Elephas maximus indicus: one gene and its partners. The protein of the gene in region 3 purifies or fractionates together with the protein of the main gene of each other region. This does not show direct contact. Links are inferred from orthologs where the notes say so. Each region holds a gene or a part of one and is shown on either strand. Other genes may lie near its edges.

Region 1 (9,899 bases), on a different chromosome or scaffold from region 3:
ATAAAAACTTTAACTCAAAAGTTCTAATGTATGTTTCTTTCTAATTCTAATCTAAATGTTCTTTTAGCTAGATTAATATCCAACACATTGAATCTTAGGTATGAAATATTTCAAAGTATCAGAAACAATCACCATCTATTAATTTCTCACATCCAGAACTCAAAAATAAAAAACCAGCATTGATTGCTACACAAAAAGTTCCCAAACACAAAACTTCCCAGGAACGTGAGCTTGAAGCATCCTATATCATCAGCTCTATGAACTCTGATGCATATACCGTTCTTACCTTATCTTTTTCATGTGGAAGGAGTGACACAGGAGGTAAACAAGAAAGAGACTCACAACTCTCTTTCCCATCCACATTGGTTGCTTTAGTGTTGAGCCGATAAAGAGGTCCATCTTTAAGGAGTCTGCCATGGCCAATGGCACGTTTGATAGCCAATCGTAACTGCTGGTGAAAGCCAGAGGCAGCACTGCCTCCAAATAACGCAGACACATCCTTCTGACCTTTCAAAAAACGTTCAATGCTTTTCAAAGTTGAGCCACCGGACTCTGCCAAGCCCTCAACTGCACGTTTGATCAGTTTATTCCAATCCACATTTTGTTTATTATCCAATTTCCCATGGTTTCGAGGTTTAGGAAGTGCTATTCGCCCAGGATTATCAGGATCTTTATAGGAATTGAGTCCTTTATTAGAGACCTTTAAAATTGTTCCATCCTTAACACTCAACTCCAATTGTTCTAGAACAGTTTTACGATCCAAGCCATGGGATGAAGATACTGCATTGCATATCCTTTCCTCTGAAGGACGCTGTTTCTGCTTCTTCACTTTTTTGATGGCCTCTAAAATCCACTCCGTGTACAGCGGGTTAGCGAGTTTTACCATGGTGAAGGATTCTGTATATCCATAGAGTCGTTATCCCTTATCCTGATGCTGAGTAAGTTTCACACCATGGAAAACAAGATTCTCGGAGGCTGGGAACCAGTTAACCATAGCATACAAGTTTTCTGGCCTGAGTCTTTTCTCCTTTCGCAAAGTAGAACGCTTTCCAATTTTATTTTAGAAACCAAAACAACCTGTTATTTGAAATATCATCACACTTCCCAATAAATTTCTTTATAGCACCACACATGGGTCTCTTCAGAAAGTTGTAAAGACTCAAGAACATCTCATTCCCAGCTTCACATTAGAAAAACGTGCATCTCATGCCTGTAAAGCAATTAAAACAAGGTCAGTTTTCCACATCAAGCCCACTGAAAATAAGCTGTAACTGAAATATTCTATTCTTTTTTAAACTAAGTAAGTAACAAGTGTTTCCTGAACACCTGTAGGAGTTTAAGACATTTCTATCAACACCCCAAAACAAACATGTATGTAAGTCACTGGGGTAAAACAGAAAGAAGAAAAAAAAAAAAGATGAGTAATTAGGACACAAGATGAGATGTTCTATGAATGACCTTAGGCTACAACTAACCAGGAGCGTGCTCGCTATTCTGTGCTCCCAATCTCTGCTCACCAGTCTATGAACTGCAACTCCTCCTTGACATCTTTCCCCAAGAAGTAACTATCCAGCACACTTCAACAAATAACTGGATTAGTAGAAAGAATCCTGCAATGAAAGTAAATCTTTCATCTTTCAAAATTCCAGACATTCAGACTGGATAAAAACAATAAGATAGGCAGACAACCACTGAGAAAATTTTAACTATTTCATATATTAAAAGAAACAATTCTAATTTACAGACCAAGCTCATATTTTAAGTACACTACTACTTGAAACATTCCAAATGGGAACAAAAATAACACTGAAAAGGGCCGAGTGTGAAAAAGTGCTTAAAGAAGTTTAAAATAATCCAATTTCATTCAAACTCTTAAGAATTACATGCTTATAGTTCCTCCTAACCCAAACTAAGATACTAATATCCATATACTGAAAGGAGTAACAACTGTCAAGTCATTCATAAACAATCTACAGATAAAGTGGAAGTGAGAAAGACCCAGGGTCACTGGAGTCAAATATACATATTACATGTCAACGTACAGAATATACACGTGAACGGTACTATATACATACACACACACAGTAGTTGTGGGTTAAAGAGGAGTCGGATCTCACAGAGATCTGAATTCAAGATTGCTAGACTGCTGTCCTGTACTGAACATTAACGCATAAAACATAAACAAGAATTGCCCCTCTAGGATCAAAATGAAACTTCTTTCCCACACAAGAATCTGGCAGATACAAATAAGAAAAAAAAAAATTCACCAAAATAACAAATTCTAAATCTAAATGACTTCTTTGCCTCAAAAAAACTAAACTTTTTACTTCAGCTTTTTTTAATACAACTTCTCTTATTCTCAGGTAGCAATCACATTACAATGTACACAATGCTAGAAAAATGGCTTCCACAGTAACTTTTCTTAAGAGTGACATTAAAATCCAAAGGAAAACTAATAGGGATCAGAAAAGAGAGAGTACTGTTAACTCGGAGCGGAAAAAAAAAGGGTGAAGCGAGCACTCAAACCCGAGGCAAGATTTATTTCAAAATCAGCTAACTAAAAAGAAGGCCCCCGGGAAAGCTATGCCTCATTTATGGTGAGGGTCTCAAGAGGATAAAAATCATAGAAATACTCCCAGAAAGTTCATTATGTAGACACTAACGCTAAACTAAATGGGGAGCTACAGCCTGAGTTTAAGCTGGGAACATTCTAACTGATTAATCTCGCAGGTAAAAGAATGAATGACAGTCATTGTCTCTCCGGCCGAGATTTCCATCAGCGTCCAGGTCTTCAGAAAATAAAGAGCCTGCAGACTTGAACCTTAACTCTCGGAAAGTACACAAGCGGCTGCAGAGAAATCGCAACTTGCTTCCGACTTCTTCCTCCCTCCCCATTCCCCACCCCCAAACACATCTTCGCGCTCTCTTTTTAAAGAGCGAGAAACTTTAAAAACTTGAAACGGCACAGCCCTGTAGTCTGCCAATGGGTTGCTTCGCCGCTCCCACTTGGGGAGCACAGAACCCAAGGAATAAGTTAACAATGAAATCACGTGAAAGAGTTAAGCGCAATGGGTCTCCCCTTCCCAGCTCCTCCGAACACTCAGCCCCACCGGGGCCGGTTCCAAGGAGGCGTGCGGGGCGCCGAGGCTCCCCGGAGCCTGACAGCTCGGGCAGCTCCCGTCCGCGCCGGCCGAAGCTTGACAGGCGCCCGCCGCCTCCCTCCCAGCCCGGGCTGACAGCCCGACAGACACAACACCACACGTGCTGCCTCCTCCGCACCACAACACCCGCCAGCCTGTCACCCCCACCGGCCGCCGCAGCCCCGCTCGCCCCTCGGCGCCCCCGGCCGGAGCCCAGAGGGCCCGCGCCAGGCGGCGCGGGGAGAGGGGCAGGGCCGGGCGGCCGGCGGCCGGCGACCGGGCGGGCGCAGGTGGGGCCGGGCGGTGGGCGCGCCCCGGGGGAGAGCCGGCTCCCGGCGCAGCCCAGCCCGAGGCCCCGAGGCCCCGAGGCTCCGAGGCTCCGAGGCCTGGGCCGTTCGCCGCCCGCCCGCCCGCCCACCCGCCGGCTCCCCAGGCTGGGCACGGCCGGCGGGAGGCGGGAGCTCCGGGCCGGCGAGCGCGCGGGCCACCGGGGCGGAGGAAGCCGGGCGCCGGCTGGGCGCGAGGGGGCGGCCGCGGCGCCCCAGCCCGAGGCCTGGCGCAGAGCAGCAGGAGGCGGCGCAGGCCGCGGCGGGGCCTGCAGCGGCCCGCCGACCCCGTGAGGCGGTGGAGCGGGTCCCGGAGCGGCTCAGCCTCGGGCTCGGTGGCCGAGGGCAGCCGGGGGTGGCCCCTCGGCTACTTACCGGGCGAGAAGAGAGCCGGGTTCCCGGGGCGCCGGGCCGGACCGCGGAGATGCCCCAAACTGACACGGCCGCCATCTTGGAGACAGTGAGCTCCGGCCGGGGGGAGGGGAGGCGTGGCGGCGGAACAGCCGCGGGGGGAGGGGAAGCGTCGCGAGGGAACGGCTGCCTGGGGGAGGGAGCGGGAACAGCCTGGGAGGAGGCGGGGGGAGGGGGAGGAAAGGGGCGCGCGGGAGGGGGGCGGTCGCGGAGCGGGAAGAGCTAGGCCTGGAGCCGGGAAAGGCCGGAGGGCGGGGCGGGGCAGGAGGGAAGAGCCGGCCTGGCGGGTCACGTGGGGCCGGTACAAAAGGCCAAAGCCAAAGTGGGAGGAGGACTTGGTGGGGCCGGAGGCCAGCAACTGGGGGCTTCTTCTCGCCTTTCTCACGCGTTTAGGCCGGGCGTCTACGGCAGAAAAGAAGACGACGATGTACTCCCATTACACAGCTGGGGAAACTGAGAGCAGGGGCATGGGTAGGGTGGCTTCAGTATAGCACGGAAATCCGGTAGCCAGATGAGATCGGAACTCTTGGTGGCGTTTGTGTTTACAGTTAGCAGAGCCTCCCTCCCCTCTTCTGTGCCCTCACCCACTTCCACAGTGACTCTCCCGGAACCTGAGGTCGGGGGAGGGGAGGAAAATGAGGAAGTTGCCTCCCTTCATCTTTCCCTTTCTGCTCACCCCAGACATCTCACCCCTACTGGTAGGCAGGCGAGCAGATGCGAAGAGAAGGGAAAAGCGTGGGGGAGGACAGTAGATAGAAACTCAGACACCCGTGTCAAGCCCTTTCACCACAATGACTTCATTTCATACTCCCCACAACAACTGAGAGTTTATTAGACCCTAGCAGAGCCATTATTATAGAAAACAGCGCAAACTCGGGTCGTGTAACTTGCCCAAGGTCATGCAGGTAGTACGTAGCAGACACCTGAGTTTGGAGCCTAAATCTGTCGTATTCCAAAGCCTGTGTTGTATTCCTGCCCTGTGCAGAATCACTGCTGGCTGCATTTAGGGCTGAACCACGATCTAGCACTTTTTATGGCAAGTCTGTCCTCTACTAGCTGCATGTGTGTTTCTTTGTCTTGTCTCGCATGTAGACTTAAACTCCTTGAGGCAGAGATTCAGTCATACTTTTTTTTTTCTTTCCTGCATTCACTGGAAAGACAATAAATGACAAATGAGAGGACAGAGTAAATGCTTAACAATTTTGTGTGGAAATGTATTCTTGTTAGTGGGCATTTATCTACCTTGTGCCTCCTGTTTAGGTGTTTCCACACCTCATTTTATCTCACCCTTACCTTTTAAAGACCACCGTCTGACTTACTGCCTTAACTTTGGTATTTACTTTCTGGTCTGAACTTCTGTGGTATTGACCATTTGCCCTATTCATTTGTCACTCAGGGTGTGAGTCTTTATCTATGTTTTATGAATATAGCCCCAGATAAATGCTTTTTTAGGGTGACTCTTTGTATCTCCAGTGCCCAGTATGCTTGTTGTACAAGAGTAGGAGCTTAAAAAAAAAGTTGCTAATGAATGAACATTTTTTTAAGCCTCTGACGTGGAAACTTCACCTACCTCGGGTCCTGCCTTTGTTTATACCCCAACCCATACTTTCCTGTCTCTATAAACCTTCTTCATTTTAATCCCTAGCCTTATTATTCCACACGATAGACCGTCTAGAGAATAAAAAGTATTATATTTTCAGATGATGGTCCAGCCAAGGCAACATTTCAACATTAACATTGACAACAAATGTGGTGTGCTGAGACTTACTGAGTCAGCACGGTTCATCACCTACTTCCAAGCCCCATCCCCAGATTAGGGGAGACTCGATGGCAATGGGTGGTGTGGGTGGTGGTGGAGGTACAAAAAAATCTATTAGAAAGGATGCCTTCCATCCTAGATGAATCAGGCAGAAGTATTCTCAGGTAAAATGGGAGCTCTTTATAAAAACAGAAACAGACACGGGGGCGGGGGGGGTGGTGAGAGGAGACAAATTTTCTTTTAGGAAAATAAGACAAGGTTTTTGTTTCCCAAAGAAGACAGATGAAGTGGCATTAGTATAAGAAAAAGTGTTCTTCATATGAGACTAAAGTCTATGGTTTTCAGAAGACAAATGATAGGGATGAGCTGTGTTTGCTTTTGGATAATTTGAAAGAAAACTAGCCACAGCTATCCCTCTGAAAAGAGTTTTTAAACTCACAGTAGCAAGATTTTAAAACAATTTGCAACAACAAAGCACAGTTTAGCTTTTCAAACAGCTTCCATAGAGAGTCTTTGCTTTACATTTGCATAACTAAATGACACATTCAGGGGGTCTTCTCAAAGTACAAGGTTTGCAATAAAAACAGATTAAAGTCCTCACCTTCTGCAAGTTAGATAACGATTTACTGCTCTGAAATGACGGTTTGCTTAGCTCAGCCTTCACTAAGAATTCAGCCCTGTAGGGCTGGCAGCTAAAGCTTCCCGCTTCCACATTTTGCCCAAGGAAAAGCTGCCTTTTGGGTTGCAGCTGATAACTACATTTTATGCAGAGTACAGCTCAGCCTAGGTTTCTCTGTCCTAGTTTCAGCAGGAAGTTTTTTAGCACATTTACAGTTAATATAAAAAAAAAAAAAAAATCCATTCCATGGAGTCGATTCCGACTCAAAGCAACCCTATAGGATAGAGTACAAGTGCCCAATAGGGTTTCCAGGAAGGGGCTGGTGAATTCGCACTGCAGACCTTTTGGTTAGCAGCTGAGCTCTTAACCACTGCACTCCTGCAGTTAATATAGTTACTGCTATATTTGGTTTTTTTTATTTGTATTTTTTTAATATATATTTGTATTTAGGAGCCCTGGTGGCAAAGTGGTTAAGAGCCACGGCTGCTAACCAAACGGTTGGCAGTTCAAATCCACCAATTGCTCCTTTGAAACCCTATAAGGCAGTTCTACTTTCCTGTAGGGTCACTACGAGTCAGAATCAACTCAATGGCAATGGTTTTTTTTGAGGATTTATATTTGTATTTATACTTGCCATCTTACTATTTATTTTCTACATGGCCACTTATTTTGTATCTCTTTTTCTCTTCTTTCAGGCCTTCTTTTTTTTTTGGAACTGTAAATACACATAGCGTATTTAGATACTATAAAAAAAAAAGGTAGTAGCAATTTAACATATTATTAATCATAATTCATTTATACTATTCCACATTTTTTTAAACCTGCCCTCCTTTGTATGTTAAAGTACACATTAATAGTTAATTTTTAGACCATGAACTTTTAGAGTGCAAAATAATGCCTTTTTCTAGTTTTGCTGGGTTTTGTGTGTCTCTGTGTGTGTGTGTGTGGTAAATATATATGTAGCAAAACATTTGCCATTTTAACACTTTCAACATGCACAATTCATTGACGTTAGTTGCATTTCTCATGTTGTTCAACCATTGTCATTATTCACTTCCAAATTTCTCCATCACCCTTAACAAAAGCTCAGTGTCCCCTAAATAATGAGCTCCCTCTTCCCCTCTCTCCCATCGCCCCTCAGTAGCCCCTAATAAACTTTGGTTTCTATATACTCGCCTATTCGAGATATTTCATATAAATGGGATCATATATTTGTCTTTTGTGACTGACTTATTTCATTCAGCATATTTTCAAACCATACAACAAGGTTCAACCATGTTGTAGCATTTATCAGGACTTCATTTCTCTATATGGCTGAATAGTAGTCTATTGTATGCATGTAAAAAAAAATTTTTTTTTTTTTTACATGTACCACATTTTATTTATCCATTCATCTGTTGACGGGCATTTAGACTGTTTCCACCTTTTGGCTATTCTGAATAGTGCTGCCATGAACATTGGTGTACAAGTATCTGTCTGTGTTCTTGCTTGTATTTTTGTCCACCTCTGGATGATTTTAACTTTTTTTTTCTTTGTCTTTAGTTTTCAACAGTTTTACTATGATGTGTCTAGATGTAGTTTTCTTTTAATTTATCCCGCTTGGGTTCATGACTGGGGTGGTGTCCATTCATGGAGTTCCTTGAATTTTTGTAGCTTCACATCTTTTATCTGTTTTGGAAAATTCTTGGTCACCGTTATGGATTGAGTTGTGTCCTCCAGAAATTTATGTTGAAGGCCTAACTCATGGTACCTCTGGATTTGACCTTGTTTGGAAATAGGATCTTTGGAGATGTTATCGGTTAAGTTAACATGAGGGCATATTGGAGTAGGTTGGGCTCTAATCCAATCCGAGTGACTCCTTACAAAAGAAGAGAAGAAACCCTAGAAATTTATAGAATTTTCAAAAGCTATTAAAATTAAGTTTGACCCTTTAGAGATATAGAGAGACAAACCTAGGAGGATAGCCATGTAAATATGCATCTACAAGCCAAGGAATGTCTGGGGCTACTAAAAAAAAAAAACTAGAAGCTGTGAAAAACAAGAAAAGATCTTTCCCTAGAACCTTCAGAGAGAACATGATCCTGCTGACACCCTGAATTCTGGACAACTAGTCTCTAGAACTGTGAGGCAATACATTTCTGTTCTTGTAAGCTACCCGGCTTGTATTTTATTACAGCAACCCCAAGGAATACAGTCATTACCTTTTCTTATCTCTTTTCCTTTTAGGAATTGAAGTGTACATATTTCAGAATTTTTCATTGTTCACTACCTGTATATCCTATCATTTTTCTCTTTTTTTTTCTTCTTTGAGCATGAGCTTGTATATTTTCTGTTCTTCTGTATAATCTACTCTTAAGCCCATTTATTGTGTTCTTCATTTCACCTCATTGTATTTTTTAAGTTTTAGAATTTTTATATGATTCTTTAAAAATAAAACCCATTCATTGGTGAAATTCTCCATCTTTTTGTTTTCTCCACCTTTCCCTCTATTTTCTTGGATGTATCAATCCTGGCTATTTTAAACCCGTTTCTGATAATTACAAAATCTTGATCTCCTGAGGATCTATTTGTACTGTATATTCCTCCCATTGATTTTGGACTCAGCCCCCACCCCACCCCCTCTTGGTTTGCCTGGTAATTTTTGAGGGAATGCCATATATTAAGTATGAAAAATTATAGAGGCTCTAGATAATATTTTCTCTATCCAGAGATGGTTCACTCTTTCCTTTGCAAAGCAGTTAGAATGAGGACTAATCACCTTAGTCAATCAAAGAATGAGCTAATTTGAGATTGACTTTTGGCAAGGCTTAGTCCACCTCTGTTTTGCTGCTGCTCCTACAGTACATCCCTCCAGGAATTCCAACTGAGAATGTGTGTATTCCCTTGGCCTCTCGCCCTAGTGGATACTGAATTCTAATCCTTGTTTCCGCCAGCACTGTGGGACTGCCAAAAACTCCATTCCACTTTTCAGAGGCTTTCTATTTGGCTTTCTAACCTTCTGTCTCAGGGTTCTTCAGAATTTGACAAGTGACTTGAGGGAAACAGGCAGAGTATTCAGCTCAGTTATTCACCTTTCCTTTTTTACTGGAAATCTGGCCCCCCTGGTCTTTAAGTTTTGTCCTCTCCAACCATGCTTAACTGCCAAATTTTCTGCTGGTATTTTTGCCCCTTGAGGCCTCTTTTTGGACTCTGTCCCAAAACTTAGGCTCTTGTCTTATGGCCAGAATTGCCCCAAGGAAAGGAGGTACTGTGGTGTCATCTTAGCTCTGCTTGTGGTTTCCCCTTCTCTGAGATTGTATCCTCTCAAGTCCTGTTTGCCTCAGTAGCTCTCTGATGCCTAAAATGAATGTTTTATATTTTATTTAACTCTCCTAATTGTTTTCAGCTGAATTATTGGTCTGTTACAAGGATTCTGTCACACCCAGAACCAGAAAAAAAGTTTTAAAAATGAGTACGTTCTGTCCTTTCATCTAAGCAGGAAAATGTCTGAACAAGGTTCTGCCTCAGGTACCAATGTATAGTTTCCAACACCAACTGTGTATCAGAATCACCTGAGTACTTTTTTTTTCTTTTATTGTGCTTTAGGTGAAAGTTCACAGCTCAAGTTAGTTTCTCATCCAAAAATTTACGCACACATTGTTACG
Region 2 (9,139 bases), on a different chromosome or scaffold from region 3:
CCTGTCTTAAGTCAGGGACTACCTGTATTCCCGAGAAAACCCTATGGGGCAGTCCTAACTCTGTCACATGGGGTCGCTATGAATCAGAATCAACTGAGGGCACTAACAACAATTATAGACTTACTATCCCATTGTTTCTTAGACCGACAAAGAACTTAATCATTTCACTTCCTAATGGAACGTGCCTGGACTCACTTCCAATAATGCTTTTTTGTAACTAAAATGTGTGCTTCACTTTTCCTAACTGGGGGTCCTTTATGTCTCTTAGTTTTTAGTTTTCCCATATTTTAATGTTGATATTTTTGGAAGTAGGTAGGTGGAAAACAACTTTCCTCAGAAAATACCTTAGAAACAATAACAGTTTTTCCACTACAGGATTTACCTGGAATTTGACTCTGAAAAAGATAGGATAGAATCATATAAATACACACACACACATGCATATATATAATTTAAATCCATGTCCTTAGACAACTTTGTGGACCAGAACCACTAACCCCACTGCTCTCCAGCCTCCAGATAGTCATGGATTTTTAAAAAAGTAATCTGGCAGTTTAACTAACTGCTGATAAGGAAATGCTTCTATAAAGTGCTGGAGGCAGGCCTAGTAAAGCATCCACACCTACTGGATATTATTAGGGGGTAAGTCAGTGGGAAGTGACAGCAGTTGTGGAATTGCTCTGGTAGTTCTGTTCTTCTGTAACTGACTGCCAGATCCCGGGAGGGGCAGGGCCCTGGGAAGCAATGTTAGGAGTAGAGAGGTAACCTGCTGGAGAAAAGAGATCCCCTCTACTCCTCCCTTCCATGTTTGTTAACTTTTTTGGCTTTATCAAGAACCTGTTGTTGTTAGTTGCCCTCAAGTGGATTCTGACTCGGCGACCCCAAGTGTGCTCCCTAGGGTTTTCAAGGTTGTGACCTTTTAGAAGCAGATCCTCAGGCCTGTCTCCTGAGGTGTGTCTAGATATATTCAAACCATCAACCTTTTGAATGTTTAACTGTTTACATCACCCAGGGACTCCACAGTCAGGGACCTGGAGAGTAAAAATATAAAAGATATCAATACCTCACCAGTCAGTCTATTGGAGAAGCATGCTGGAAGACCCCTTAAAAGGAGAAAGCTTTCCATTAAGAAATATTCTTTGAAGAACACCAAAGACACAAGGTAATAATGGGCTCAAGAGACAGAAATGGCCATAGAAACCAGAGACTACATCAGCCTTAGACCAGAAGAACTAGATGGTGCCCGGCTACAACCAATGACTGCCCTGACGGGGAACACAACAGAGAACCCCTGAGGGAGCAGGAAAGCAGTGGGATGCAGACCCCAAATTCTCATAAAAAGACCAGACTTAATGATCTGACTGAGTCTACAAGGACCCAGAGATCATGGTCCCCAGACCTTATGTTAGCCCAAAACAGGAACCATTCCCAAAGCTAAGGTTTCAGACAGGGATTGGGCTGGACTATGGGATAGAAAATGTTACTGGTGAAGAGTGAGCTTCTTGGCTCAAGTAGACACGTGAGACTACGTGGGCAGCTCCTGTCTGGAGGGGAGATGAGAGGGCAGAGGGGGTCAGAAGCTGGCTGAATGGACCCGAAAATAGAGAGTGGAGAGAAGGAGTGTGCCCTCTCATTACAGGGAGAGCAACTAGGAGTATATAGTAAGGTGTATAAAAATTTTTGTATGAGAGACTGACTTGATTTGTAAACTCTCACTTAAAGAACAATAAAAAAGTTTTTTAAAAAAGCTTACAAATAAATTATATTACTCTTAAATCACTACAAATATAACTGGTGATTTCACTGATGCCAAATACTTCAGTGAAACACATTATCGATCAGTTTTTTCTTTATACTTTGAGATAATTTAAGAGTCACAGTAAGTATCAAAAATAGCAGCGTTCCCTTGTACTATTAACCCAGCTTTCCCAAGTGATATTTTACATAACCATGGTAGATCAACAAAACCAGGGAACTGGCACACTAGACATTAGTTTTTAAATAAACTGAGGATACCTGAAAAGTTTGTTACAGTATTTTAAATATTTCACCTGAGCACTGGGGAGAGAAGTTTCCGTGGAAGCGGCCAGGATGGAAAGGTGGAGGAGGTTATGTTCAAGAAGGTGAAGTGTTTAGCCAGTACCAGAATTACACTGTCTTGGGAAAGCGTTTCTCAATATATTCAGTCTTAAAACTGGCTATGTAAGAGAAAGGTAATGACACTTCTCGTCCCTCGTCTCAGGGCTTCGAGCAGGGGATAAAAACCTGGTAGGAGTGAAATGTGATGCACTCTCAAGGCCTTACCTTCCAACTCTAGATTACAGTTGTTCAGACCAGTACATTGTTTTTCCTTTGTGTTTGAGAAAAATGTGGGCATTTCTAGCTACAATCACAGAGAAAAAAAGTGAGTGAGCTTCAGGTCATCCATTCAGGCTAATCGCTGTAACCAGAATCGAATTACCACTGTAAAGTTCTCGGCCTAAGGCTATTTTTAGCGACAGGATTTCCCAGTTTACTAAAAGCTGTGCAAAAGCTGCCCGTGGCCGGGCCTGCGTTTCGCAAGCGGAGCTGGAATGGAGAGCAGACGCATTCCCGGGGTCCCCAGGCGTCACTTCCAGTCCGGGAACCACAGGCTTCTGGGGGTGATACTCCCAGTCCGGGAGCCACAGGCTTCTGGGGCCTTCACTCCCACTCCGGGAGCCACAGGCTTCTCGGGGGCGTCACTCCCACTCCGGGAGCCGCAGGCTTCTCGGGGCCTTCACTCCCAGTCCGGGAGCCACAGGCTTCTCGGGGGCGTCACTCCCACTCTGGGAGCCGGCCTTCACTCCCACTCCAGGAGCCACAGGCTCCTGGGGCCTTCACTCCCAACCTGGGAGCCACAGACTTCTGGGGCCTTCACTCCCACTCCGGGAGCCACAGGCTTCTCGGGGCCTTCACTCCCACTCCGGGAGCCACAGGCTTCTGGGGCCTTCACTCCCACTCCGGGAGCCACAGGCTTCTCGGGGGCGTCACTCCCACTCCGGGAGCCACAGGCTTCTGGGGGCGTCACTCCCAGTCCGGGAGCCACAGGCTTCTCGGGGGCGTCACTCCCACTCCGGGAGCCACAGGCTTCTGGGGGCGTCACTCCCAGTCCGGGAGCCACAGACTTCTCGGGGGCGTCACTCCCAGTCCGGGAGCCACAGGCTTCTGGGGCCTTCACCCCCACTCCGGGAGCCACAGGCTTCTCGGGCCTTCACCCCCACTCCGGGAGCCACAGGCTTCTCCGGGGCGTCACTCCCACTCCGGGAGCCACAGGCTTCTCGGGCCTTCACCCCCACTCCGGGAGCCACAGGCTTCTCGGGCCTTCACTCCCACTCCGGGAGCCACAGGCTTCTCGGGGGCGTCACTCCCACTCCGGGAGCCACAGACTTCTGGGGCCTTCACTCCCACTCCGGGAGCCACAGGCTTCTCGGGGGCGTCACTCCCACTCCGGGAGCCACAGGCTTCTCGGGGGCGTCACTCCCACTCCGGGAGCCACAGGCTCCTGGGGCCTTCACTCCCACTCCGGGAGCCGCAGGCTTCTGGGGGCGTCACTCCCACTCCGGGAGCCACAGGCTTCTCGGGGGCGTCACTCCCACTCCGGGAGCCACAGGCTTCTCGGGGGCGTCACTCCCACTCCGGGAGCCACAGGCTTCTCGGGGGCGTCACTCCCACTCCGGGAGCCACAGGCTTCTCGGGGGCGTCACTCCCACTCCGGGAGCCACAGGCTTCTCGGGGGCGTCACTCCCACTCCGGGAGCCACAGGCTTCTCGGGGGCGTCACTCCCACTCCGGGAGCCACAGGCTTCTGGGGACGTCACTCCCACTCCGGGAGCCACAGGCTTCTGGGGACGTCACTCCCACTCCGGGATCCGGGCTTCTCGGGGGCGTCACTCCCACTCCGGGATGCGGGCTTCTTGGGGGCGTCACTCCGACTGTGGGATCCAGGCTTCTCGGGGGCCTTCACTCCCACTCCGGGATCCGGGCTTCTCGGGGGCCTTCACTCCCACTCCGGGATCCGGGCTTCTCGGGGGCGTCACTCCCACTCCGGGATCCGGGCTTCTCGGGGGCGTCACTCCCACTCCGGGATCCGGGCTTCTCGGGGGCCTTCACTCCCACTCCGGGATCCGGGCTTCTCGGGGGCCTTCACTCCCACTCCGGGATCCGGGCTTCTCGGGGGGCGTCACTCCAACTGTGGGATCCGGGCTTCTCGGGGGCGTCACTCCCACTCCGGGATCCGGGCCTCTCGGGGCGCCCTTGGGAGCCCGTGGGGTTCACCTTCCCCTTTGCCGAGAACAGGGACGCAGAGCGGACCCGCGCAGACTCTGGGGTGCCGTGACCTCCCAGCTCCCACCCAGGGCGGCAGGGTTTCCAGCTCCACCCGCACAGGCTGCTGGCTGGGACGTCAGGCCGCGGCCGGCGACAGTCGCCAAGGTCCCCTGGCAGGTGCCAGGTCCCGCGCGCGGTGGGGACGGGCCGGGGAGGCGAGAGCCAGCCGGGGTGAGGGGCGCGTGTGCCACGGGGTTTCTGAAGCCGCCGCTGCAGGCCTTTGAGGAAGGTCTGCGAACCCTAACTAGGGAGCCCTGGGGGCGCAGTGCTTAAAGCTCAGCTGCGACCCAAAGGTCGGCAGTTCGAATCCGCCGGCCGCTCCTAGAAAACCCTATGGGGCCGTTCCACTGTGTCCTATAGGGTGGAATCCACTGGGCCGCAGTGGGCCGTGGGCTGACTGGAGGACGCGGTGTCATGGCGAGCTCATTGTTTCTGTGACTGGACCTGGGGCCTGGTTTAACGAGAGAGTCTCCTTGGCCTCCCCGGGCCCCGCGTCCCCCCGAGAGACCAGGCTGCGCCCCAGGCGCGCCCCGCAGCCCCACCCCCACCCCGGCGCGCGGAGGCCCCGCCCAGAAGGCCCCGCCCAGAAGGCCCGAACCAGGAGGCCCCGCCCAGAAGGCCCGAACCAGGAGGCCCCGCCCAGGGAGACCCCGCCCAGGGAGGCCCCGCGTGCCCCCGAGAGACCCGGCTGCAGCACAGGCGCGCCCCGCAGCCCCACCCCGACCCCGGCGCGCGGAGGCCCCGCCCAGAGAGGCCCCGCCCAGGGACTAGCTGGCGCGCGTCGGCGTGCGTGCTGACGTCAGGGCGGAAGCGCACGCTGCGTGAAGCGCCCGCGCGCGGAGGCGGCCGGGATATCCGTCGCGCCGAGAACGCTGGTTAGTCTCGCTCTGGGTTCCGGCTGCGTTGGGCGTGCGTGCAGCTCGCGGAGATTATGGCGTCCGGGCCTCACCCGACCGCGGCCGCCGCCGCCTCGTCGGTCGCCCCGAGCGCGGGCGGCTCCGGCTGCGGGGCGGCGGCCACGACGGCGACGGCGACCAGGGGCATCCTGATCGGCGACCGCCTGTACTCGGAGGTGTCGCTGACCATCGACCACTCGCTGATCCCGGAGGAGCGGCTCTCGCCTACGCCGTCCATGCAGGACGGGCTCGACCTGCCCAGCGAGACGGACCTGCGCATCCTGGGCTGCGAGCTCATCCAGGCCGCCGGCATCCTCCTCCGGCTGCCGCAGGTGCGTGCGCCGCGGGGCTCGGCCGGCGCTGGTCCCGCCGGGGTGGGAGGCGGAGGGCCGGTGTCGGAGGCCCGGTGTCGGAAGGCCGGGCGGACCGGGGCCGGTATCGGAGGTGGAGGGCCAGGGTCGGAGGCGGAGGGCCGGGCGGACCGGGGTCGGAGGGCCGGTGTCGGAGGCGGAGGGCCGGGCGGACCGGGGTCGGAGGACCGGTGTCGGAGGCGGAGGGCCGGGCGGGCCGGGACTGGGGCCGGTGTCAGAGGCCCGGTGTCGGAGGGCCGGGCGGACCGGGGCCGGGGTCGGAGGCGGAGGGCCGGGAAGACCGGGATCGGGGTCGGAGGGCCGGTGTCGGAGGTGGAGGGCCGGGCGGACCGGGGCCGGTGTCGGAGGCGGAGGGCCGGGCGGACTGGGGTCGGAGGGCCGGTGTCGGAGGCGGAGGGCCGGGACTGGGGCCGGTGTCGGAGGCGGAGGGCCGGGACTGGGGCCGGTGTCGGAGGCGGAAGGCCGGGCGGGCCGGGGCCGGGGCCGGTGTCGGAGGCGGAGGGTCGGGCGGGCCGGGACCGGGGCCGGTGTCGGAGGCGGAGGGCCGGGCGGGCCGGGACCGGGGCCGGTGTCGGAGGCGGAGGGCCGGTGTCGGAGGTGGAGGGCCGGGCGGGCCGGGACCGGGGCCGGTGTCGGAGGCGGAGGGCCGGGCAGACCGGGGTCGGGGGGCCGGTGTCGGAGGCGGAGGGCCGGGAGGGCGGCTCGCAGGCGGAGGCGGGCGTACAAGATGGCGGCCAGCCCGGAGCCGGCCCGCCTGACCCCGCGCCTCCCTTCTCGTGTCTCGTCTGCAGGTGGCGATGGCAACGGGGCAGGTGTTGTTCCATCGGTTTTTCTACTCCAAGTCGTTCGTCAAACACAGTTTCGAGGTGAGCGGCGCGGGGGCGGCGAGACGGGGATTTCTTCATCCGGAAGGGGGGGTGGTGTCGGCAGCCTGCTCTCCCCGGCGAGGACGGGGCTCCCCCGGGCCTCGGTGCCCCGCTGCCCCGGCCGGGAAGTGGGGACCTCCGGAATGTGTCCTAGAAAGGGAGCGGTGCAGTCTGAGCCCGGGTGCCCTCCTTATCAAGGGTTAGGGTGTTCAACCAAGTGCCGCAAACTCCCGGGGGATCGAGGTTGGCTGTGGATCCAAAGTTAGGAGTTGAGCAACAAAACGACAGCATAGGGCTGGTGACCGAGAAGCTTCTCTCGGGCTTTTATCGCGCCGAAGGCTGCCCCAGTTGTGTTCTAAAGTTTCATCAGAATAAGTTTGTTACACTTTTGGCGAGACGCTTTTCTCTTTCCCAACTTTAGTTGATAGTCCTGTCATTTTAACAATTGTTACTGATCCGGTTTTTTTTTTTTTCCAGATTGTTGCCATGGCGTGTATTAATCTTGCATCAAAAATCGAAGAAGCACCTAGAAGAATAAGAGATGTGATTAATGTATTTCACCACCTACGCCAGTTAAGAGGAAAAAGGTAAGATTGGCAATATCGATTATGTTCTCTTCTGCTACTTCTGTACTGTGTACCGATTATCAGGTCAAGACATCTTTCCTGTTCAAGCGAATGTGATGCACAGAAAAACTCACTTTAACTTAGGTGTTCTGATCCACCTGGGAGCACACGGGTGTTTAAGGAAACTTGGGGAAGCTGTGACTGACCAGTTACCTAGAGCTCGTAGAGGCAGTTGTGGAGGTTGCTAGGAGCGCTGTGAAGCCAGGCTGTGATTTAAGATTGAACAAGAAAGAGAATGAGGATGCATTGGGCTCCAGTGGGAGTGTATTCTCTTTTTCCCCCACTTTCTCTCTGGAAGACTAAAGGTTGGTAGTTTAAACAACGTAGTTCAAGTTAATCTTTTGGCAAAGTTCTGCGTAGATTGATTTTCTGTTCCAAGTCCCAGTTAATTCTTTGTCAATTGAGGTTGGTTTTTGTTAGAACACTTCTCAACATTGAACTACGATATATCGAATAATACCGGATCTGAAAGGACTGCAGGATGGTAAAATTTGAAGTTTGAAGTCAAAGGGATTAAACAGGTATTTTATACTGGTCAGATAAAGACTTGGGGAGTCGGTTAGAAAAATAACTCTTAAGTTTGATTGGATTGCATTATTAGGGGCCCACTTAGTCCATCTTGTAAGAAAACAAATGGAAACGGTGTTTTCTCGTAGGTGTGTTGTAACTACATGGTAACACTGGACCTATGTGTTGATGTGAGAGAAAACCACTTACAAAGTGTCAGTTGCAGGTCTTTTTGCATCTGCAAGAGATTTCTGGTACACACTGGAGAAGGATCTACTTGGTGTAGATTACAGATTAGTTGTGTTCCCTTTAGGGAGTCATGGTGATAGACAAACTTGTGCTGAGTTTGGAAGGAAATTAGTTGTAAGATGATAATAAGTTGTGTTGGGGGTTGGGTGTAGCTTAGTGCCGAATCAGTATTCCACACTGATGGTACTACTCTTGGCCGAATCTTTGAAGTTGTCAGTAATGGAATTACTCAGAGGCAGCCAAATGTTACAATGTCCTTATGATGATTTAGTTCAGTCAAAAAGTCTGAAATGTCGCTCTGCAGATATTTCAAATGGTGTGTTTTTTTTTTTTTGGTTTTCTTACATTTTTCCCCTACCCTGTCTTTTCCCATTCACCCTGTTCTTACCCAGAGACAGAATAACTTTTTAATTTCGTTTTTAAATATCTTTTAGCTTCTTGTTGAGGAATCCCTGGAAATTGGGAAGATTTCAATTTGGTATTTAGTATGACCTGAGCTTATGTTTGTACTTAGCGATCTAGCTGATTGTTGAGGATGTATGAAACAGAATGACACTGTCTAATAGAAAAGGTTCTGTATCTTTAGTTCAAAGCTTTTTTTTGAAAGAAATAGTTTCTGGTGGTATTCTTTGAACCTGTTGAGCCAACCAGTATGTAGTTATATGATTATTGTCTTTGGAACTTTCTCTGTGAGACTTAGAATTTTCTTCCTTGATGTCACATTAGGTCTTCATAACTGTAAAAACCATGGAATTTAAAGTATCACATCTGACTGCTGCGTCTGATGTCACAGTGCTTTTTTTGGCATTTTTACAGAGAAATTTGTTTTGCCTCAATCTTAGAAGTGTGATTATAGCATGAAATTTAAAAGGAGTTGTTAATTGCATGGAAGCTTTTAAAAAATGAAAAACAAAAACAGGATATAGAAGCGTTTCTATGCATTTTACAAGTTAACTCAGACATATAACTTGTATACGTTATTAACTTCAACTCTTTTTTCCCTTGCAACCGACTATACAGCGACCAGCTACATTTACCAAAGCCTGGGTGATGTGGAGTGGTACATAGAGATGAAGCTGTCGTCATGGCAACAGTGAGTGAAGTATCGAAAATCCCCAAGGAGAAGCCAGTGCTCTGAGAATAGGTCACTGGAATCGGGGACTAACAGGTTGGCCACTGGTGAACCATTTAGAAAAACTCCTGTTTCTTGTTATAAGCTTTTGTCTTTGCTGTCCAAGTTATTAGAACTGTACCTTAGTATTTTTGACGAGGTTAATG
Region 3 (9,798 bases):
TGGAAATAGATTGCTAGGTCTTTCTTCTGAGGCATCTCTGTGTTGGTTTGAACTGCCAACCTTTTGGTTAGGTAAGTGCTTAAGCACTCACGCCACCCAGACACTCCGGTGATGGCAATAACTAAAGTTTAAATATTTTAAGCTCCAAACACTGTTCTAAGCAATTTACCTGTTCAAAGTCACCCTATCAGGATAACACTGCCATCATCCCCATTTCATAAAAAATAAAACAAGCATAAGGCAATTAAATAATTTGCCCAAGGGTACTCAGCAAAAAGAAGCCCTGGCCTGGGGGAACCAGACCTCAAAAAAGGGGATGCCCTGCCTTCCCTTATCTCCAGGGGACCTTGGGTCTTTTCTTTGATCCTTGGTAGCTCTGTCCTTGCTCCCCACCTGGGCACAAACTGGTTGGCGGGCCGCTTGGGCCGGTACTCGGGGTGCACCATGAAGAGCATGTGAGGGAAGCCGGTGCCGAAGTAGGCGCCATCCGTGTGGTGATGCCTCGATGACTTGGGTGTGTACACATCCATGCACTTGGGGCAGTAGAGCTTCACCATGGCCTCGCCTGGGATATCCGACAGGCCTGCGAGACAGCCAGACTCAGCCGACTGGGCACCTTCTAACCTGCACAACTTTCACCCAGGACTTGGGCCCCGACTTGCTAAGTCCCAACACATTCCCAGGGCACCTGCCATATGTCATCTACCACTATCCAATACTCACCAATGGGGAGCATTGGCTGGTTCTCACAGTACACACGGGGACAGTAGCCAAAGTCTCCTTGCTGGTATTTTTCCAACTGAGGTAAATAAAATGGCGAAGACTGGTAGACAGGTGTGAAATGATGCAACCCACATAGTGCTAACTCCCCCCTCAGCCCAACCTATATCACTGTGCCCCTAATCCTTCCACCTCTGTCCAGAGGCCCCTTCCCTAGCCCAGACAGACCCTCAGACTCTGCTGCCTCCTTTCCTCCAGTCAGGCAGGCTGCAAACCAGAGTCATTCACTGTTTGTTCCCCAAGAAAGAGATAGTCTGCAAGAACTTCCCATTCAGGGTCATGTCTCCCTCCTGAAAACAGCCTCCCACAACATGCCCCGAAATCAGGACTCAACTCCCAGGCCCAGATTCTGGGCTTCTTCCCCTCTTCTCAGCTAGACTCCCTGGCAAAGTTGAAATGTATGACTTCTTGCTGCTGGAACCTGTTTCCCTTATTGCCTCAAAAGGAGTCAAGTGGGAGTAGAGTCCTCACCATCTGGGCGATGCCACGGTTGGTGAGGATGTAGCGGGCGTGGATCAATCCATACAGCATCTCAGCTGCCTGCTCAATCAGGTCACTCTGGTTGGGGTTGTCTTCCAACTCTTCATCTGAAACATGGCCCGGCCCAAATGCAACCACTTGCCATTCAGCCTTCCTGAGGGTGCTCCACTCACTCCCAGTGGCTGCTGGCTACTCAATTTGCCCACCACCTATCTCTGAGTCTCACCCCACCCATCACCTGGACATTCAACCCGTAAACCTAGGTTTCTGACCCCTTCCACCAACCCAGGGCAGCTCTGCCTTCCCTCCACACCTCTTCAGCCTCCGTTCTCTTCTCTACCCCTACCTCGCTTCTCAATACATAAATGCAAAGATGTCAACGCAGAAGGTGGAACTCTAGACTGGAAGGTGCAGGGCAGAAGAAACAGGCAGAAAACAAGACACTTGGGGAAAGTGGCATTATGGAATAAAGCCGAATTACAGAATCAGTGAGCACAGGAACAGATGGCAGATGTCACTAAACCAGGCAAGAGCCAGGTGGAGAATCAAAGTGAAGGAAGAGATTTTGGGATAAAGGAGACAAAGAGCCAAAAGAAAATTTAGAAATTCAAGAAACAGGGGAATTGGGATTTTGAGAGGAGGAAAAATCAAAACAAAACAACAACCCTGAAAGTGCCTCACCAGGCTCCAGGTCCAAGATCATGTCAAGGGCTTGTCGATAGTGGGGTACCTGCTCATTGAGCCCTGTGAGGTTGAACTTGTCTTGGATGTAGTCTTCATCCACCTGTCAGGATGTGGAAGTGAAGAAGGAAACCACAAAGAAACTCCAGGCTTTGGCACAGACATGTTGCTCTAACTGATGCCTTGTTCTCAACACAACTGCTTCTGTTCCCGTCATCCCCCACCCCAAACTCAAAAGAGGTACTCACACACTCCCTCTCCTAAAAGCCCTGGCCTTTCTTTTCTAAGGATGTCTCCTCAGATAGACATTCTTTTCAAGTTCCCTATCCGTACTCCTGCACCCCATCTCTAGGAACCAGTTTTGTTCTCTCTTTAAGGATAGCTGGCTCTCTGAGGAAGGTGGAGACTGACAGCTCAGATTCTGAAGGTTACAATCCCTTACGTTAACAGAGAACTTTACACATTACCAAACATTTTAACAGGTAGTATTTCAATTCTCGTAACAGCCACCTGAGACAGGTACTATCAGTACTATTCTAGTGATAACAAAGACATGGATTGACCTTCTCGACATCTTCCTGTCGGAAGATGGAAGGCTTGGGACTTGAGCACCAGTCTTGCCGCTTCACTACAGGTTAATGGGAGGTACTGAGGGGACACTTCCTTGACAAGAGGGAGTTTCCATGGAAGCATCGGAAAAAATTATAAGAAGGCTGAATATGTGTGGGAACGCCTGGGGTCAGAGTCTGTGTGGAGCTGCGCTGGCAAGCAGGGAGACTGAGGAGAACTCACTTCACAGAAGAACTCATTGCCACGGAGCCCACAGAACCAGGAAATCCAGGACACCTCCTCTGAACTGCTCATCTTTACGTCAGCTTGAAAAATAAGGGTGTAAGTAAAGCCGGTGACCCAGAGCTTTCCCTCCCTCCCTCTGTCTCTAGTATCCTCCCTCCTCCCACACTTCACCTTCCAACCACAGAAGAACCTTGGGGTCAGCCTTTCTTAAAGGAGAGCCCTGGTGCTGGAGTGGTTAAGAACTATGGAGAGCTGCTACTGCTAACCAAAAGGTGGCAGTTTGAATCCACCAGCTGTTCCTTGGAAGCCCTATGGAACAGTTCTCCTCTGTCCTATAAAGTCTTCAGTAGTCAGAACTGACTCGATGTCAACGGGGTTTTTTAACGGGGTTTCTTAAAGACTCCCAGACTCCGGAGCACCCCTCTCCAACTCCTTTTATTTACACCTCAGCCCCTTTTCTCTGCAGTTAGAAATCCTGTGCAGTCCACTTGCAAGAAACCAAGAGATGTGACCCACCAGTCCTACCCGCATCCCTGGCTCTCCCGCAAGCCGGGCCCCTCTCCCTTCCGTGTCAACTCCAGCAGGGTCCTCGACTCCGGCTCCCTACCACAGTAGGGCTCTGCAAGTTTCCGGAGCCTTTCCCAAAGGTCCCGAAGTTTATCCTTCCCGGGAAAGAGCCCGGCCCCTCCTTTTCTGACGGCCTGCGGGTGACTGTCAGATCCCTTCCACAGGAGCCCGCACATACCGCAGCCGCCCCCCAGGACACCCCTCCCTCCCTCCCTCCCTCAATGCCGGACCGGGTCACTTCCTTCCCCGCCCCCACATCGAGGCGCAGAGACCCCATGTGCAGCGCCAACGAAGAAGAAGGCTCGGCGCGGCGAGGACCTCAGACTAACCTGCTGGACAGGGGCCGGGAGTGGGGCGGGGAGGGGAGTTGCTGCTTCCAAGCGACAGCTACAACGAAGGCCGTGGACCCGACCGCGGCAGGCGACGCGCGGTGGGGGGAGTGGAAATTGGGGAGGGTGGGGAAAAGAGCAACGCGCAAGCGCCAAAGGTCCGGCACCGCGGTGGACGCCGGGAAATAGAGTCCCCGGTAGGGACAAACTGGCGAAACGAGGGAAAAGCTAACTACGAATCCCAGGATGACCCGCACACGACTCTGGTTCGCTGGGCCCGCGAGGAAGACGCTCGAGGGCGGGGCGCAGCGAGGCGCCACCGGAAGCGGAAAACAAATGCCGCATTCGGGGCCAGAGCCTGGGAAATACAGAGTTTTGCTCCTAGGACTGAGGGGCCGAGTGGGGGCGGGGAAATCAGCGCGCCAGGCTGAAGTCTCTCCCTGCCTCTCTCCTCACTGCTTGATACTCAAGTCCTGGCTAAGCGCCTCCGCCCTGGAGTCTAGTCCTGTTTATTCCTAGTCTCGTCCAGGCCGTCGCGTCTTTCTTGCCTGTTAGGTCCCTTGCCCCAGTCAGGCCTATTCCTGGGGCTTCCCCTTCTCCATAGGGCCCACGTTTCACCCAGAGCCCCGGCCTCCTGAGAAAGAAAATGCTCCGTGCTGAGAGACCTAGGTGGGCTGGACTGGGCTGGGCTGGGCTGGGCTGAGCGATGTGAGAACCGGGACGGCCCAGTGCGCTAACCTGAGGTGGCACCAGCCATCCTGGCGCTTGTCCCCTTGCACTTTTCCATATCCTCTTAGGCCTTGAATAGGACCTTCGACTGCGGGCTCAAAGTGTAACCTTCGAACCTTGGTCAGAGTAATGGTGAGGGGCAGGGTGACGTTATTTCATGTCACAGCTTCTTGGCATTGCAGATTTCCCTCCTCAGTGCCTTTCCTAAGTCAGGGAATGGTTTCCCGGCTCCAGAAAATGAGCTCGGAGCGGAGGGTCACCTCGAGGGAGGTGGAGGGCATTGTGGGGCGTTATGTAAAAGCAGGACCCCAACCGACAGATCTTCTTAGGTCCTCGCGCCGCCGAGGCACGCGACCCTTTGCAGATTGACTATTGGAAAGACTCCAGGGCGGGAAACTGAACCCGGCGCTTCACGCCTGCGCTCTGATGTAATCATGGCTTTTTTTTTTTTTTTTCCTGCCACGCATGCGTTGTCTTGTCTTGTGGCTATTTGATTGTAGCGTATCTTTTGATTAGAGTAGCGCCATTCTGCCGTACGGAAGCCACAAAGCAATGCAGGCGGAGCCTCTTGCCGAAATCTGCTTCCGGAGAAGTGCCGAGACTGTTTTTGTTTGAAAGACGGAACCCCGAAATAGGAGCAGGAAGATTTAAAGGGCCAGGCCGGTTTTTTTTTATCTTAAACGTATGTCATTTGGTGTGGAAAAGTCGGTTCAGAGAGAGGCTCTCATTACTTTTATATGAGAGCGGGGTGGCAGGGCGGGACATAGGCCCTCTGAGCAACTCTCTCATGGAATTTTCTTTGTTGACATTTAGCAAGGAGCAGGTTATTGTAGGGTTTCCTGTTTTTACATGTGACCTATAACCCTTGGAGCCCTGGTGGCGCAGTGGTTACGAGCTTGGCTGCTAACCAAAATGTCGGCGATTGGCATTCACCAGCCGCTGCGTGGAAACCCTGTGGGGCAGTTCTACTCTGTCCTCCTGTAGGGTCGCTATGAGTCGGTCCTTAGGCGCTTAGGCCCTGCCGGGCCTTAGATTGTGGGGTCACTTTTGGGGCAGGAGGGGATCTTGGATTCTAAGGCTACTTTTCTTCCTTTCGGCAGCTTCCTGGAGGTGGATCTCGGCACTACAGGGGCTTTTGGGCAGTTGGCTTGCTTTTCTCAGCCTTCCCTTGCCCAGCCTCATTTTCTCAGCTCTCACAAAAGCCATGTCCAGGCCGTCCCTCATCACCTTCACCCCAGCCAGCGATTCTAGTGACCTCTGGAAAGATGGGCAGCAGCAGCAGCCACAGCCTGAGGAGCCAGAACCCGCCTTGGATGGGTCTGCAGTCCGTGCTTTCTACGAGTCACTGATAGAGAGCGAGAGCAGCTTTCCTGAACCCCAAAGATCGCACCCTGAGCCTGCCAGGGAGAAAAAGAGGAAGAAAAGAAGACTGATGAGGGAGGCTGCGGCAGAAGCAATGGCAGTGGCAGAGGCAGCATCAGGGGTACATGGACAAGAGGGATCCCTTGAGGCAGAGGACAAGCTAACCCAGTGGATACTGAGGGCAGCTCAGGAGGGGGACCTGGCAGAACTTCGAAGGCTGCTGGAACCCAGTGAGACAGGAGGAGCTGGGGGGAATATCAATACCCGTGATGCCTTCTGGTGGACTCCCCTGATGTGTGCTGCCCGAGCTGGCCAGGGGGCAGCTGTGAGCTATCTCCTGGGCCGAGGGGCTGCCTGGGTGGGAGTTTGTGAGCTGGGTGGCCGGGATGCTGCCCAGCTGGCGGAAGAAGCCGGCTTCCCCGAGGTGGCCCGCATGGTCAGGGAGAGCCATGGAGAGACGAGGAGCCCTGAGAACCGGTGAGAAAGTCTTAGCCCATGCACATATTTCAAAGTGTTCTGCTCTTCTTACTCACTCTGCACCAGAGGCCCCAGAACAGAGCTGAGGGTCCCCCTGCCCCATGTAGGTTGATAAGGCAATGTAGTAGCATGGTTACAGACATGAGCTCCATTGGTTTGAATCCTAACTCCACTTACTTGGGCAAACAACCTAAATGCTATGTGTCTCAGTTTCCTTATCTGAGAGATGGTGGGTAATAATAGTACCTTTCTCGTAGGGTTAAGATTAAATGGGCTAATACGTGCAAACTACTAGAGCAGTGCTTGCCATGTAGTTGTTAGTTGCCATTGAGTCAATTCTAATTCACGGTGACCCCATGTGTACAGAGTAGAATGCTTCATAAGGTTTTCAAGACTTTGACCTTTTGGAAGTAGATTGCCAGGCCTGTCTTCCTGGGTGGATTTCAACTGCCATCCTTTTGGTTAGTAGTGGAGTGCGTAGCCATTAGCCTCACCCAGGGGCTCCTTTGCTACATGGTAAGTACTATATAAATATTAATTGTAATCATTATTATTCCTTCCTCCAAAAGTCTTGTGAGGCCTAGTTACCATTTCTTCTCCCAGCCATTCCCCTCTGGGTTTCTCATTGCTAAGTGGGGAGGAAAGCAATTTGTTCCTTAGCAGAAGGGCTGAAAAGACCTTGTCCCACCCTGCCAGCACCCCTGAAGCTTCTGTACCCTTCTCCTGACCCATAACCCCCTCCCTCAACTCCTTCTCTTCTTCCTCTGCAGGCCCCAATCTCGCGCCTCCCACTATTGCGAGACCTGTGACGCCTACTTCCAAGATGCCAACCACTGCACATCCACCGCCCACCTGCTGTCACTGTCCCAGGGTCCCTGCCCCCCTAGTCTTCCCCCTGGGGTGCCTGCCTCCAGCCCAGGCTTCAGGTTGCTGCTGAGGGGAGGCTGGGAGCCAGGGATGGGGCTTGGACCCCGAGGTGAGGGTCGCACCAACCCTATCCCCACTGTCCTTAAGAGGGACCAGGAGGGTCTTGGCTACAGATCAGCACCCCAGCCCCGGGTCACACACTTCCAGGCTTTGGATACCCGGGCTGTGGCTGGGCGGGAGCGAGCGCCTCGGGTGACCACACTGAGCCGGAAAGAGGAGAGAAGGCGAGAGGAGAAGAGCAGGGCTTGGGAGCGGGATCTCAGGATGTACATGAACCTTGAATTCTGACCTTGGTGAGGTTTGACCCTGGTCTGCTGCCAGAGTCTGAACTTTGGCCCATGACTTGGGTACTTTAGCCTGTACTCCCAGAGGTCTGCCCAGGTCCCAGACCCTCAGGTTTTGGTCACTGGGCCCTCCCTGCCTTTTGGGAGAGAAGGGCTGAGAGTTGAGAAATAAATCAATCTTCATTCTCTTTCCTAATCTGTTCATTTTTCTGGAAGCTGTTGTGGGGGAAGCCAAACTGAAGTCTGGGGGCCACATTAGCATGGCCAATTGGAGCCACAGGAGCAGCTACCTCCAGATGGCATGATAGAGTCATCTCCCTACCAATCTGGTTCTTTTGGAGGCCTGTTGTTGTTCTTAGGTGCCGTCAAGTCGGTTCCAACTCATAGTGATCCTGTGTACTACAGAACGAAACACTACCTGGTCCTTCACCATGCTCACAATTGTTATGCTTAAGCCCATTGTTGCAGCAACTGTGTCACTCCATCTCCTGGAGGGTCTTCCTCTTTTTCGCTGACCCTGTACTCTACCAAGCACGATGCCCTTCTTCAGGGACTGATCCTTCCTGACAACATGTCCAAAGTATGTAAGATGCAGTTTCACCATCCTAGCTTCTAAGGAGCATTCTGGTTGTACTTTTTCCAAGACAGATTTGTTCTTTCTTTTGGTAGTCAATGGTATATTCAACGTTCTTCACCAAGAGCATAATTCAAAGGTGTCAATTCTTCTTTGGTCTTCATTATTCATTGTCCAGCTTTCACATACATAAAATACGATTTAAAATACCATGGTTTGGGTCAGGTGCACCTTAGTCTTCAAGGTGACATCTTTGCTTTTCAGCACTTTAAGGAGGTCTTTTACAGCAGATTTGCCCAATGCAATGTGTCTCTTGATTTCTTGACTGCTGCTTCCATGGCTGTTGATTGTGGATCCAAGTAAAATGAAATCCTTGACAACTTCAATCTTTTCTCCGTTTATCATAATGTTGCTTATTGGTCCAGTTGTGAGAATTTTTGTTTTATGTTGAAGAGTAATCCATACTGAAGGCTGTGGTCTTTGATCTTCATCAGTAAGTGCTTCAAGACCTCTTTACCTTCAGCAAGCAAGGTTGTGTCTTCTGCATAACGCAGGTTAATGTGTCTTCCTCCAGTTCTGATGCTCCATTCTTCTTCATACAGTCCAGCCTCCCAGATTATCTGCTCAACGTACAGATTGAACAGGTATGGTGAAAGGATAAACCCTGACGCACAGTTTTTCTGACTTTAAACCAAGCAATATCCCCTTGTTCTGTTCGGACGACTGCCTCTTGATCTACGTACAGGTTCCTCGTGAGCACAATTAAGCGTTTTGGAATTCCCATTCTTCGAGGCCTAGCCCCTGCCAATAGTACCACACCTATTCTTCTGAACCAGGAACAACTTGCAGCTCCATGCAGATCTTCTGACCACTCCAGTCAGTTCAGTCACTGATTTCACAAATATTCATATACAGTGTGCTAAGAGAGACATTCCCAACACTGAAGGAGCTCACAGCTGGAGGGGGAGATAGCCCTGAGGTCAGATATTATAATACTTGGTGGGGGGTGGCTAGGGCTGGTCAGGGAAGGTTCAGAGAGGAGGTGATGATAGTGGGTCAGGTCTTGCAGGAAGAGTCCAGTATGATGACAGGCCCAGAGTTAATGACAATGCAGCTTGTACATTAGTTGAGCTGCCATCAGGACTCTGCCCTTCCTAACTCTAAACTTTAAGCCCAAACCCACTGCCATCCAATTGATCTCAACTCATTGTGACCCTGTAGGATGGAGTAGAATTGTCTCATAGGGTTTCAAGGCTGTAAACCTTTACAGAAGCAAACTGGCACATCTTTCTCATGCAGAGTAGCTGATGGGTTCGAACTGCTTCACCACTGTACTGCAGGGCTCCCTAACTTTACACCAGGGTTCTTCATTTCACTACCTGAAACCTCCTGAGGGCAGAAAATTTATCCTACTTGTCTATACTCATTTTTCGCACCCTTCTGCGCTCCCCACTTTCATGTCCGGCTCATGCCAGGTGCCAGGCACTTAAAAGAGTTCACTATAGTCATGTGCAGGGAGTAAAGTTTGTACACGGAATGACAGGATATGGCTACCCAAGTTCCAAGACTCCCGTTATCATTTTCCTTTCTGAAAAAGACATTCACGAAGTCGGGGACAGGAAGAGGGAATCCAAGAAAGGGAGGACTTGGGGAAGGGGTGCAGGGAAGAACCCAAGACAGGGACTAGTGGGGAGCGTCCGAGTTTAGATAAGCACGGGGGCCTCTGGGCGGCGGAAATGGAGGACTGAGCTCCTGTTCAGGCCTGGACCTCGCCGATCCAGCCCGCGCTGTGGGGTTTGGTTGAGTGCACAAG

What was found. Proteins that work in one complex are often made in the same cells at the same time.
Region 1: the proteins of CSNK2B (region 3) and KAT6A purify together in Homo sapiens (affinity purification with mass spectrometry; 3 studies listed by BioGRID and IntAct, with this or other methods). This does not show direct contact. The link is inferred for Elephas maximus indicus from reciprocal best matches to the Homo sapiens genes CSNK2B and KAT6A.
Region 2: the proteins of CSNK2B (region 3) and CCNL1 purify together in Homo sapiens (co-immunoprecipitation; 3 studies listed by BioGRID and IntAct, with this or other methods). This does not show direct contact. The link is inferred for Elephas maximus indicus from reciprocal best matches to the Homo sapiens genes CSNK2B and CCNL1.

The regions. Positions count from the first base shown.
Region 1 is NC_064840.1:58,392,439-58,402,337, reverse strand, and holds the start of KAT6A (histone acetyltransferase KAT6A), read right to left. Parts: upstream 3,937-9,899; 5' UTR 3,842-3,936; intron 1,211-3,841; 5' UTR 887-1,210; coding exon 287-886; intron 1-286. UniProt on the Homo sapiens protein: Histone acetyltransferase that acetylates lysine residues in histone H3 and histone H4 (in vitro). Component of the MOZ/MORF complex which has a histone H3 acetyltransferase activity. May act as a transcriptional coactivator for RUNX1 and RUNX2.
Region 2 is NC_064841.1:3,472,106-3,481,244, forward strand, and holds the start of CCNL1 (cyclin-L1), read left to right. Parts: upstream 1-5,203; 5' UTR 5,204-5,277; coding exon 5,278-5,574; intron 5,575-6,404; coding exon 6,405-6,479; intron 6,480-6,956; coding exon 6,957-7,066; intron 7,067-9,139. Other genes in the region: collagen alpha-2(I) chain-like, read left to right, coding at 2,502-3,182, 3,257-3,302, 3,339-4,356. UniProt on the Homo sapiens protein: Involved in pre-mRNA splicing. Functions in association with cyclin-dependent kinases (CDKs). Inhibited by the CDK-specific inhibitor CDKN1A/p21. May play a role in the regulation of RNA polymerase II (pol II).
Region 3 is NC_064819.1:93,192,705-93,202,502, reverse strand, and holds the start of CSNK2B (casein kinase II subunit beta), read right to left. Parts: upstream 3,752-9,798; 5' UTR 3,633-3,751; intron 3,454-3,632; exon of another isoform or gene 3,262-3,453; intron 2,817-3,261; 5' UTR 2,806-2,816; coding exon 2,734-2,805; intron 2,045-2,733; coding exon 1,942-2,044; intron 1,368-1,941; coding exon 1,252-1,367; intron 824-1,251; coding exon 724-823; intron 584-723; coding exon 394-583; intron 1-393. Other genes in the region: GPANK1 (G patch domain and ankyrin repeat-containing protein 1), read left to right, coding at 5,566-6,200, 6,971-7,415. UniProt on the Homo sapiens protein: Regulatory subunit of casein kinase II/CK2.